Linked DNA regions of Styela clava. The protein of the gene in region 3 purifies or fractionates together with the protein of the main gene of each other region. This does not show direct contact. Links are inferred from orthologs where the notes say so. Each region holds a gene or a part of one and is shown on either strand. Other genes may lie near its edges.

The links.
Region 1: the proteins of serine/threonine-protein kinase PLK1-like (region 3) and heat shock factor protein-like purify together in Homo sapiens (affinity purification with western blotting; 3 studies listed by BioGRID and IntAct, with this or other methods). This does not show direct contact. The link is inferred for Styela clava from reciprocal best matches to the Homo sapiens genes PLK1 and HSF1.
Region 2: the proteins of serine/threonine-protein kinase PLK1-like (region 3) and anaphase-promoting complex subunit 1-like purify together in Homo sapiens (affinity purification with mass spectrometry; 3 studies listed by BioGRID and IntAct, with this or other methods). This does not show direct contact. The link is inferred for Styela clava from reciprocal best matches to the Homo sapiens genes PLK1 and ANAPC1.

Annotation. Positions count from the first base shown.
Region 1 is NC_135263.1:6,652,279-6,656,036, forward strand, and holds the start of heat shock factor protein-like, read left to right. Parts: upstream 1-1,087; 5' UTR 1,088-1,171; coding exon 1,172-1,300; intron 1,301-1,829; coding exon 1,830-1,938; intron 1,939-2,318; coding exon 2,319-2,443; intron 2,444-2,974; coding exon 2,975-3,096; intron 3,097-3,502; coding exon 3,503-3,578; intron 3,579-3,758. UniProt on the Homo sapiens protein: Functions as a stress-inducible and DNA-binding transcription factor that plays a central role in the transcriptional activation of the heat shock response (HSR), leading to the expression of a large class of molecular chaperones, heat shock proteins (HSPs), that protect cells from cellular insult damage.
Region 2 is NC_135259.1:2,115,092-2,118,849, forward strand, and holds the start of anaphase-promoting complex subunit 1-like, read left to right. Parts: upstream 1-1,526; 5' UTR 1,527-2,264; coding exon 2,265-2,379; intron 2,380-3,049; coding exon 3,050-3,150; intron 3,151-3,341; coding exon 3,342-3,473; intron 3,474-3,758. UniProt on the Homo sapiens protein: Component of the anaphase promoting complex/cyclosome (APC/C), a cell cycle-regulated E3 ubiquitin ligase that controls progression through mitosis and the G1 phase of the cell cycle.
Region 3 is NC_135260.1:16,482,245-16,486,002, forward strand, and holds the start of serine/threonine-protein kinase PLK1-like, read right to left. Parts: upstream 2,579-3,758; 5' UTR 2,485-2,578; coding exon 2,314-2,484; intron 1,950-2,313; coding exon 1,800-1,949; intron 1,479-1,799; coding exon 1,353-1,478; intron 1,112-1,352; coding exon 924-1,111; intron 641-923; coding exon 512-640; intron 389-511; coding exon 219-388; intron 1-218. UniProt on the Homo sapiens protein: Serine/threonine-protein kinase that performs several important functions throughout M phase of the cell cycle, including the regulation of centrosome maturation and spindle assembly, the removal of cohesins from chromosome arms, the inactivation of anaphase-promoting complex/cyclosome (APC/C) inhibitors, and the regulation of mitotic exit and cytokinesis.

The DNA.
Region 1 (3,758 bases), on a different chromosome or scaffold from region 3:
ATGGAATTTCGAGGGTCAATTGTCGGGTGTGGTGATCTCACGTTTCTGCGTTTTTAATAAAGGATAACATTTTTATATTTATGGAGAAGAAATTTTATAAGACGGCGTATTCATATGGCGAACCACGACCACTCGTCCGGGATATATATGTAAATCATACCCAAGGATAATTCTTTTACGCTAAAAATCAAAACTTTCTTCATTGAACCAGAGCCATTATATAACGGTTATATAATGGCTCTGATTGAACTATGGAATGTAATTTTGAGGGTCAAAGGTCGGGCAAACATCCCTATACTGCCCTATATTGACCAGTTTGTGGTGATCTCGCGTTTCTGCTATTTTAATAAAAGATAAAATTTTCTATAAGAAATTCTATAAGACGAGTGTTCGGACAGTGCAAATATGATATCGCTATCCGTTACAAACATTTGGGTTCACGCAGGCTCGAATGTGGAGATATGTTTATCAACAATCACAGATAATGCAACAGGCTCGATCAGGATAGGATAGGATGACTCGGCGGTGTGGCGCATCGTGCTAAGCGTTAGGAATACGCTCGCCACCGCATCTCTGATTACTTGGTGCAGGTAGTACTGGTACCGGTACCGGTTGTGTAGGACCGTCTCACGGAATTTTATGAGATCAGCGAACCGGTTAGCATTACATGACTTTTTGTAACAGAACCGCCTGAAAATATGACATTTGTATGATAGAACCGGCTGACACAAAATTTAAATCCCACCACTGCCTTGGGGGGGGGGGGGGTTCGCAGGTTCGAATCCCATGAAAGATGTGCGAGAGGATTGCTGGACTCGTCGCCGCCGTAGGGTGGTTCACGTAACTGCTGGTCGGTTACGGGTTCCACCACCATCATGTCCATGCTTCTGAAAACAAAATAACTGGCTAACTAATCCCATAGGTACCCGACCTGGACGTGAGGCCGTGGTTCGCCATATGATTAAGTCGTCTTATCGGCTTTCCTCTCCCCCGGGATAAATATGTAAATCCTATCCTAAATGAGGTATTTATTACTATAAAACCAATATATCCACATGCTGGTTGGTTATTTATCTCGTTACTTGAGCTATTGTTATTTGTATTTAAGAATGTGAGTAAATAAATACCATATAGACTATATATTTGAAGAATTAGCACTGCAAATTAAAAAATGGAGACTACTAATGCTCCTGTTGCTGTAATGGAAAATCCCACAACTTCAAATATTCCGACATTTTTATTGAAACTTGTTAATATGTTGAAAGATGAATCAAATCACGAATATGTGGACTGGAATGAGGTAGTCTAGATTTGTGTGATTATATATTTAATAATGTGGAATTAGAAATGTTTACATTGTAACATTTGTATAATTGCACTAAATAATTTCAGAATTTGGTAATTCAATCGTTTAATAAACTTATCTCATATTTTTATAAATTAGTATATTTTTGCTATTAGGGGTGAAATGTATTACATAATCACAGCATTAAATCAGTTTGTTATCCTCTGTAAGCTTTATGAATATTTACTGATTGCCTACAAAGTTATTTCATTGTATTTTCACTAAGCCTTACATCCCACATCATCACATATTTTCCCATTGTGACTCATGATTGGAGTGACTCGTTTTGACTTGAGACTCAAGTGTTAAAATTAGCTCATACTCTGGGGTTAATGACTCAATCATGTGTCTCTTGAGATCAAGACTCTTGGCCTGCAACTTGGTACTTGTGGACTGGCTGAATAGCACCCAGTGTTGCCATTGAAAGTCTTGTTTCTGAAATTTCAATTTCTGACTGAATAGATTAATCTATTTTTTTTTTCAGGCAGGAACATCTTTCATTGTGAAAGATCAAGTACAGTTTTCAAAAATTGTTCTACCTAAGTATTTCAAACATAATAAGTTTGCAAGTTTCGTCAGACAATTGAATATGTGTGAGTATATTTCAAGTTTTCATGGTAATAATGAAAATCAAAATTTGTACAGAATTTTGGAATAATTATTGTTGACTAAGCATGACTAACAGTTTGTTAAAGAAGTCTTGCATACGCAAAACTTTTTACTGTCTGAATTTAATGTTCTGGGAGAGTTCGGAGGTAGAGTTTGAGACAAAATTTGCATTAGCTTGGCGTGGGAGAATGTTTTTCAAGTCACAGTCATGATTTTTTCAACACAGTAATTGTAAATTTTCTTCAGCCCCTGTCATTATTGGCAATTTTTGTTTTTTCCAGTATACACTTTATGGAAATGTTAGTAGAATATGAGATCTATAAAAAAATATTGGAGTAAGTAATCAATTTTAATAATCTGTCAGATGGATTTCGCAAGATCACATCATTAACACAGAGTGGTTTGAATAATGAAAAGGAGGAGATTGAGTTTTACCATTATTTGTTCATTCGTGGTGAAGAAGTATTTCTGGAGCATATCAAGAGAAAGGTATTTATCTGTTCAATTATTTGAATTATACAATAATTTATTGTTTATATCACTATAATCTACGTTATTAATTGAGGTTTTGCGAGATTAGCTATTTCAACCTTACAATGTCTTTTCAGCGATGTCAATATGTTATCAGGTAATTACTGTGATGCGATATATTACCAGGGGCATTATCAACCATGTTTGTAGTGACACATTATTTTTATTTTACATATTTCTACAATCTACATTAATGGAAATGTAAACACTTTCAAAACCAGTTTTATAATATAAGAACTCATGAATGCATGCATGAATATTCACAATGAACAATTTTTGTGCTCTTGGACTAAATCTTGTTAACATGATTACATTACATTTGAGGCATGGCCTCTTTTATTAGGCTGCTGATTTGAATATGCAAGAACTTAATTCTATTCAAATTAGATGAAGACGAAGTTGTAGAATACCAATCTATTCATATATGTTCTTCCCTATTTTGGCAATACTTTGAATTTGAGCCTGTAGTTATCTTGTTTTTGTGTCCAGGTACCAAAACCAGAAGAATCAAATCGCCGTAACAATGAAGATGTTACCAAAGTACTCGATGATGTTAAACAAATGAAAGGCTACCAAGAAAACATAACTTCGCAGCTATCAGAATTGAAGCAGTATGTATATATATTCTAAGACAGTACTTCTCTAACTTATATATTCTAGGTTAGTTCGTCTCCAACTTATATGATCTGTGGCCCTCCTCTGAAGACTTTCATCACTTTGTGGCCCCCTACCTAGTTTTGTTTGGCCCCCTACCTAGTTTTTTTTTCAACACTAGGACTGTCCTTCTCTAACTTATATGATCTGTGGCCCTATTCCGAAGACTTTCATCCATTTGTGGCACCCTGCTCTTCAATAAAAAACCTAGTTTTGTTTTTAACAGACTTCCATCAGTTATTATATTCGCAATGTTTAATAATAAAAAGCCACCCAATAACTTTAACACCTTTTAATGATTTTCCAAAAATAATTTTTTAATTTATTAATGGGAACAAATTAATTCGTTTAATTTTTTTTCAGAGAGAATGAAGATTTGTGGCGAGAGGTTGTTAATCTACGTCATAAGCATTCACATCAACAGAAAGTTGTCAATAAGGTGATTAAAGTATTCAATAACGATAAATTTAGGATTTTCAAATTTTGTTAGATAATGAAGGAAAATAAAAACCCGAATATTTTTAGGTTTTTCACCTAATATTTTGAATTGTATTAGAAGATGCATTTAAATCTGTAAAGAACCAAGTTCACATTTATTCAAATTTACATATGAAGAATT
Region 2 (3,758 bases), on a different chromosome or scaffold from region 3:
TTAAAAGATGTATTTGTGCAAATCAGATTCGATTTGTTCATACCTCAATTGTATTGATGGAAATGAATAGGTTTGATATTTCACTTAGATTTAATTTTTTTTGTTGTGAAACCCTCCTGTGAATTCATGCTTGTTTACCAATATATCTGGCAACAGTGATTAGAGATATTATTGTTCAGCTGATTTTGATTCATTTTTCTGGCAATTGTGGCTATTTTGTTCCATCAATTGCCGGACTTCTGGCGCTGAGTTAAACATGGATATATGTAATTTAGTAATCTGTGAACGTTTAGGATGCCTTAGGACAGGGATGGCGAACCTTTATCAATGAATGGGTCAAAAATCATATTTTTATCGCGGAACAGAAGAGAGTGGGTCACAGATATTTAATCAATGTTTGTATCTATAAGAAACATCTGAAACAAATCATAATACAACGGTTCTGTTAATGTTGGTGTAGTTTAGTGCTTTACTTTACAGCACTTTATCAGGAACTTTTTATGGCACTCGATCAAGGGTACGAAAACACACATGTGAATTACGTTGAGGATGATGCGGCAAATTATTTTACGGTTCCAAAGAGTTTGAAGGGAATTCCACTCTGATAGTGCTATAGTTTTATATCAGCTTTAACCATATTAAAAGCACTTTTACACTGCCCCATTGTTATTCCAGATTTCTAGGTTTTATTTCAAGTCTGAAAGATTTTGTATTCTCAACGGCATTGTAGGCGAGAAACTAATAAAATGCAAAGTGGCATCTAGTTCTCGTACAACCCCTAAAACAGTCTGCAGATGCACTTCTGAAGAGACAAGACGTTGCGAGAAATGAACATCAATTCGATTGTTATGTCATAAACGATGTCAGAGCCAATAGCTGAATAACGGCACACAACGGTGCAGACATGCGTCCAAGATTGGGGGTTTTGAATATTATCATAACGGAAATTAACAATTTGAATATAAGCGATCGCAGCCCTGACTGCCCAACTGACGGTACATTATAATAGTTTAGGTATTGTTAGATTAATTTAAGGCCGATTTTAATATTTTTTATCACTGATATGTTAGCATTTTTCTTATTTTATTCGTGCCTTGGCGGGTCACGAATAAAACGCGGTGGGTCACTTTGTGACCCGCGGGTCAGTGGTTCGCCATCCCTGCCTTAGGATGTCAGAACGTCAGCCCACACTCGTGTGACGCTATCCCACTAATGGGGATGGCAGCCCACACTCGTGTGACGCTAGCCCACACCCGTTTTTGTCAGGCCATACTAGGGGTAACTGGGCCGTGCTTGGTATTGTATTTGCGTTGTGTATATCAGATATGGTCTCTATATTGTCAAGAGTCACCAAGTTTTTATGTAATAACATTTACAAAGTCAGTAAAATAGTTGGTTAACCCGTTGACGTCAGCCTGAGCAGGTGTGGGCTGCGGTAACCTTGGTTATCAAAGTGATGAGTGGATGTTCAATTACAGAATCCAGAATTTAGACATTCACCTTACCCCACCTTACTCAGTTACTGGAATCACATTTTGACATTCGTCTACTTTATCAGGTGTCCACACTTTGATCTGCCAGTTTTCAGTAATGCTATTACTGTATTATTTACGGTACAGTATTATTGGTATATTTCCAGAACTCACTACAAATTTCATATCTGTTCTCTGTTGTAATGAGACATTTTTAATTCAGTCAAATCATTCGGTACTGCAGTAAGTCTATCTTCAGATCTAGCCCATTCTTGTTCAGTTAAATAAATCGCTTCTATTTTATTCTAATTGTGCAACTCCTCCTCCTTTTTGCATTCAAATTGTATGTTTTTCTTTCGCGATTCTTTTTTTGAGGTGTTCAGTTTAGTTTTGTGAACATTATACACCTTGATTAGTAATTCTGGAATAAGCATTCTCACTAGTCACTTGCTCATATTCAAATGCAGAAATGACTGGAGTCATATGAGGGATTCTGAGATTCTAGTGCAGTACTGCTCCTGTGGATACCGAACATCTTACTCCATTTCTGATATTCAAGATCAGAGGTCGGGCAGTCATTTATCTGTTCATTGACCCACAGTAGAGTTCAGAACTTTGTATAACTTTGAACTGTAGCATTGCATAGTCAGATAGTAGTTACTCTAAAAGCTATAAATTTATTGCTTAAAGAATAAAGATTTTGAATTTGTTCTGAAGTTATTAAGGTAATTCTGTATTTGTTATTAATGGATTTGAATCACTCTACAAAAATAAAGACACCTATTTTGACTCATGAATAACTCCAGTAATCTACTGCGAACATCAACTTCTGTTAATGCAATGATTGTCGCTCTGGAACCAGTGGAGTTTATACCCTATGGTCGCCATGCTATTTCTAATCATCCAGGTGAGCGATAATATCACAGTATTACTATGTCCCTCTTAGTGTTCTATCAATTTGCTCCTACCAAAAATTCACTATTACCTACCTTAAAAATAAGAAGGGTGGAAAAAAGAAAATGTTTTGTATGGTTTGAGAATGCACAAGAAATAGCATTTTGCAAATACAGTACCGGTAGCTGACCAATAAGTGAAAACAGAAATAGGTAAATGAGAGTTTTTTCTTCGCAAATTGCTTTAAATTTTTCAGGCCATCAGTGTTTGTCATATTGGTGACATCGAACAGTAATCAGTAATTTATTTTATCACCATATAAGAAATACACACTGTACATACAGAACGAGATAAGAAAAGAGAGGAAAATAATGCATTTCAGGGTAAAAAGGGATGCGATAAACCAGCATTGGTTATCGAGCAGCGACACCTATGAATAGTCTAACATTGGGTCATACAAGTTTAAAAAACAAACTCAATATAGTACTAAAGTGAGGAGTCGGACGCCAAAATACTGACATTGGCATAAATATGTTTGAAAAGACCGGATATTTCCGGACTCACTAAGCAAACGACTCCGAACGCCGACTGGCGTTGAGAACTTAATGTAAACAACCTTATGCCACCTACTTCTGGATTATTTGAAAAAAAATTTGATATCCTGTTTTGTTTTATTTTCACAGGCCTTTCTTGTCTTCACTTGCATCAGTCACAAGCTCCTCTAAGATTAGATCGAAGTTTAATCGGTTCTTTCAGCAAAGTTAGCTTGGATGACAGGAATAGGGTATAAATTTTCATATGGATGTATATAATTACGGATGCCATAGTTGTGAATGTTTTTATTGAGATTACAATAATATGTATGTGTATAGGTAGGCCTACTGCATCGGTGTCTTACGTGAATATATATAATCATTGCCTAATTTATATTTATTTAATACACATGTAAATGTAATATATTTGGGATATTTTCAGGTTTCTGAGAGATGGCACCTGCGGAAATATGCAAATGCTGAAGAGGAATTATATATTTGTAAAAATACTATAGTATGGAGTAGAGGATACAAAGTCATCAGTACATATACAATTGATTCACCTGTAATTCATGTAAGATATAATTCCTTCTAATTCTAGCTTTAAGTGGATGTCTTGGATGCAAATTGAATAGGCTTCTACTTTTTTTTTCTTGGATGATATTCATTCAATCATTTTGAACAACCTATTAACTGGAATGTTGAAATAACCTGTCAATATGGTGTGATAGGTACTGCACTGTACCTTTATGGTCAGTTAGCACTGTTAGCAGTTTTGTTTTTTAGTCTGGTATCGTTTTTCACTGAATCCTGAATGCCAAAATCAAAGGATCATCATTCCCTTTATCGCTCGGAAGCT
Region 3 (3,758 bases):
AATGTTTGTATTAGTTGAATAACATTTTTATCATTGTACCCCTGAACTATATCTATTTATTGCATGCCTGTAATTGAAGATGCAAGTTTCAGAATTAAAGCGGTAGGCTATTTAAACTGAGGATGAATCCAAACACCATCTCGTAAATCAAAGCGTTTCATCAAAAAGCAGTTCAACAAAGTAATTTTCAAAAACTTGTGACTTCTCATAAGTCATACCATTTATATCCTGCAAAGGTTTCCTTTGAGATTGCGTCTGCATTTCAGGGAATCGAGGTGCCATGGTCAAACAAGTCGTAGGTAGTTTATGAGGAATATAACCATTAAAGAAGTCACTTTCCAGAGCTTCCTTCGCTGAGGGTCGAGATGAGGGTTCATTGCATAGCATTCTAAAAATGAACAACAAATTTTATTGAGTATCGTTCAAAAAGTAAACTAGGAGTAACTCCAATGGTCGAATCCAATTTGTTCAATTTAAAAGCTACTAAAACTACATAAGATACTAAAACTACCTTTTTATTAAAGTCTTGGCAGCTGGAGAAACATGATGAGGAATTCTGTATTCATTTTTCTTTATTCTGCTGTAAGTTTCTTTCAATGTTGAGGTTTCAAATGGAGGTTTACCAACCAGCAGTGTGTATCTGAAAAAGGATAATCTTTCCGATATATGGTACGAAAAAATTACAATTCACAAGACAAACACAACACAAAGAGGAAAATCAGAAAAGTTGCCTTAACTTCAAATGAGGTTTAAAACAAGCGACATGAAATGCCATATGGGCAAAGTAGAATGCGAGTAAAAAATGCATCAGAACATTCTCTAATCAGGCTTTGATCATGTGATAATACGGGAATTTTAGTGAACAACCCAATGAGATACTCTCTGAAATTAAAATTATTGATCATGAAAATGTGTGAACTTACAATACACAACCAAGAGACCATGTGTCAACTTCGAAGCTGTGTCCCTTCTTTCCTAACACTTCAGGTGCAATGTAATTGGGTGTACCACACAATGTTTTCTTTCTTTCCCCTTCAAAATCAACTTTGGTTGCCAAGCCAAAATCACCAATTTTCACTTCCATCTCATTGTTTAGAAAAAGATTTCCCAACTGGAAAAATTGAATGTACATTAAATTATAAAAGATAAATGAAGAGATAGTATGTATACTGAAATTTTTGATCCAGATTATATGACAATTTTCGGCAATCAATATATTTTCTTCTGTACACTATTCCGCTATCATAATCTACCACCTTTTTTAATAAAAAAAAAAAACATATCCGTAAATTAGTCAAGTCTTGAGAGCTAATTTCATTATACATAATAGGTAATAATAATAAAATGGTTACTTTTATATCTCGGTGTATAATTTTTTTGTCATGTAGATATACAACTCCAAGCAGAATTTGTTTCATATAGTATTTTGTCTCTGGTTCGGTAAGAGCTTTTCGTCGCTTGTACAATTCCATAAGAGACTGTAGAAAGAAATAATAGAATTTTGAGAGATAAAAAAATGTTATGTTATCTGCACTGCGGAACCACATAATGACAGCCGCTGTTGTTGTTCAAGTCAAAGTTTAAATGTGTTATTTTAATAAATTGTTTTCGATTCATCCAAAATTGTTGACAGCTAGAAACATTGCTGTTTCATGTAGTGAACATAGCGTATCGGTACAATGACGCGAGTAAATTTTGACTAATCTGAACAGGTACAATATTTCAAATGACAAAGGTTTTAATTTAGATAGATGAGGAAATGAGAGTAAAATAAGATTTGAACAAAACTCAAATTATACCCTTCTTTTGCACAATTCCAAGACAATATAAACAAAATCTTTATCTTCAAAAAATCCATGGAAACCAACAACATGATCATGATTGAGGCTACGATGAAGACTAATTTCTTGAGTCATTTTTTCTTTCTGATGAGGCTTCACAAGAAGTGCCTAAAGTATGGAAAATAGCAAAATTGAGTATTTGAACAAATAATATTGGAAAGTGACAAAATGAAATAGTATTAGAGAAACCTAGTTTACAATTTCATTCTGGACTAAAAGATAACTGAACGGTAAATTATGGATTCATGATATCTGCCAAATTTTGAAATGAAATTTCATGAAAATGCATTTAGTTTTCATGAACCTAAATTATTACATGACAGTTCATAAACAATTTCTTTAAAACTTGTTTTACTAAACTCTGTGTAAACCATAATGCACTTGCCAAAATTGAATATTATTCTCAACGAAATATGAGAAAATACGATACATAATTTAATATATTGAGATGTGAAGAGTAGCTTATTTTAACCTTAGGAACAATTTTTCCAGCTAACGTTTCTTTTGTTTCATGATCTGTTATTTCAAAACATTTAGCGAATCCTCCTTTTCCCAGAAATCTTCCGCGAGTATAACGTTTTCCAGAGTTGTCATCACACAGAATCTCAGGGATCTCCTTCATCGGAATATCCTTCTTAGACATGTTGGTGCTGGTAACTTCTTCAAATGATTGAACGCGGAGAAAATTCAGATGTCAATAAAATATTTAGTTAATTCTGACAAGAGAAAAACACTAATTACTGAAATATTACTAACAAGACGGTAAAAAGTATTACTGCGTACAAGGGCCCAATGATCATCCCTAAAGCTTATTGTTTCATACTTTACTTTTGATGGATATTTTATTTTTGATTTAACAGGTGTCAACCTTCTGTTATTTTGAAGGAATAAGTGCTTAGTTAAAAATGAAATTTACCGCGGTTGGCCACATCAGGAAATAATTTTGGATTGATGCCTATGGACAGATAGCTGGATAGATGAAAAATAACGATGGAAGAAGTTGTCATTCACAAAACGCATTTAATGACTATTCTATCCAAATATTTTTAATCCTGGCATACTGAATATCAATTGAAAGAAGTTATCTGACCACTTCCAAATAGATCATTCAGTCATTAATCAGTTTTACAAACACCATGAAAGTTGATATTTCATTCTGAAAGCTACATAAGATGATCACATTTCTGATTTCTGGATTTAGTCAATCACATGACTTTGGGCAAAATTTTGCTATTTCTTCAGTCAGTCTGTCTTTAATGACTAACCAGTATTGCGGCAGGTCGGTCCAAACACTGAAACATTAAACACAGTCTCGATAGGTCCGTGGATGTTCAACTCCACCTTATTCTGCTATTGCAAAATTTCTAAATAATCCACACATGATATTTTAAGGACATAGATAAATGAATAATAGCATCCTAGTTACGATCTGCTTGGAGATGAGTCGCGACACTGTTGCGTTTCAAATCTTTCCAAACTGGCGCTTATACAAGCCAGTACCGAAAACTAACAAACAATCTCGGAGGCGACTTCAACAATTTGAAATTCAACAATTTAGAAGTGTTCCCGTTTCAAAAATAAAATGTAAAAATCTCCGGTAACAAAGCCCTTATATTGAATTACACAAAAAATAACCGCTGTTCTTGTAATTACAGGTGCAAAAGCAATTCTCTAATACACACATACGATAAATTTAACTAATTTTGATAAGATTTGATTCAAAATACACAACAGTGAGCCCTGGATATCGAGTCTTTTTCATCTTTTTCATATTACCTTTTGCCAAGTAAATACACGCCGAACACAGGCATTTAAATCTCATTTGAAACTCGCTGTTCCAGCGACGGCGGTTTCTGATTGGTGTACAAAGAATGACGTTTCTCTTTCTCATTCTCTCATATTAACATTTGGCGATTC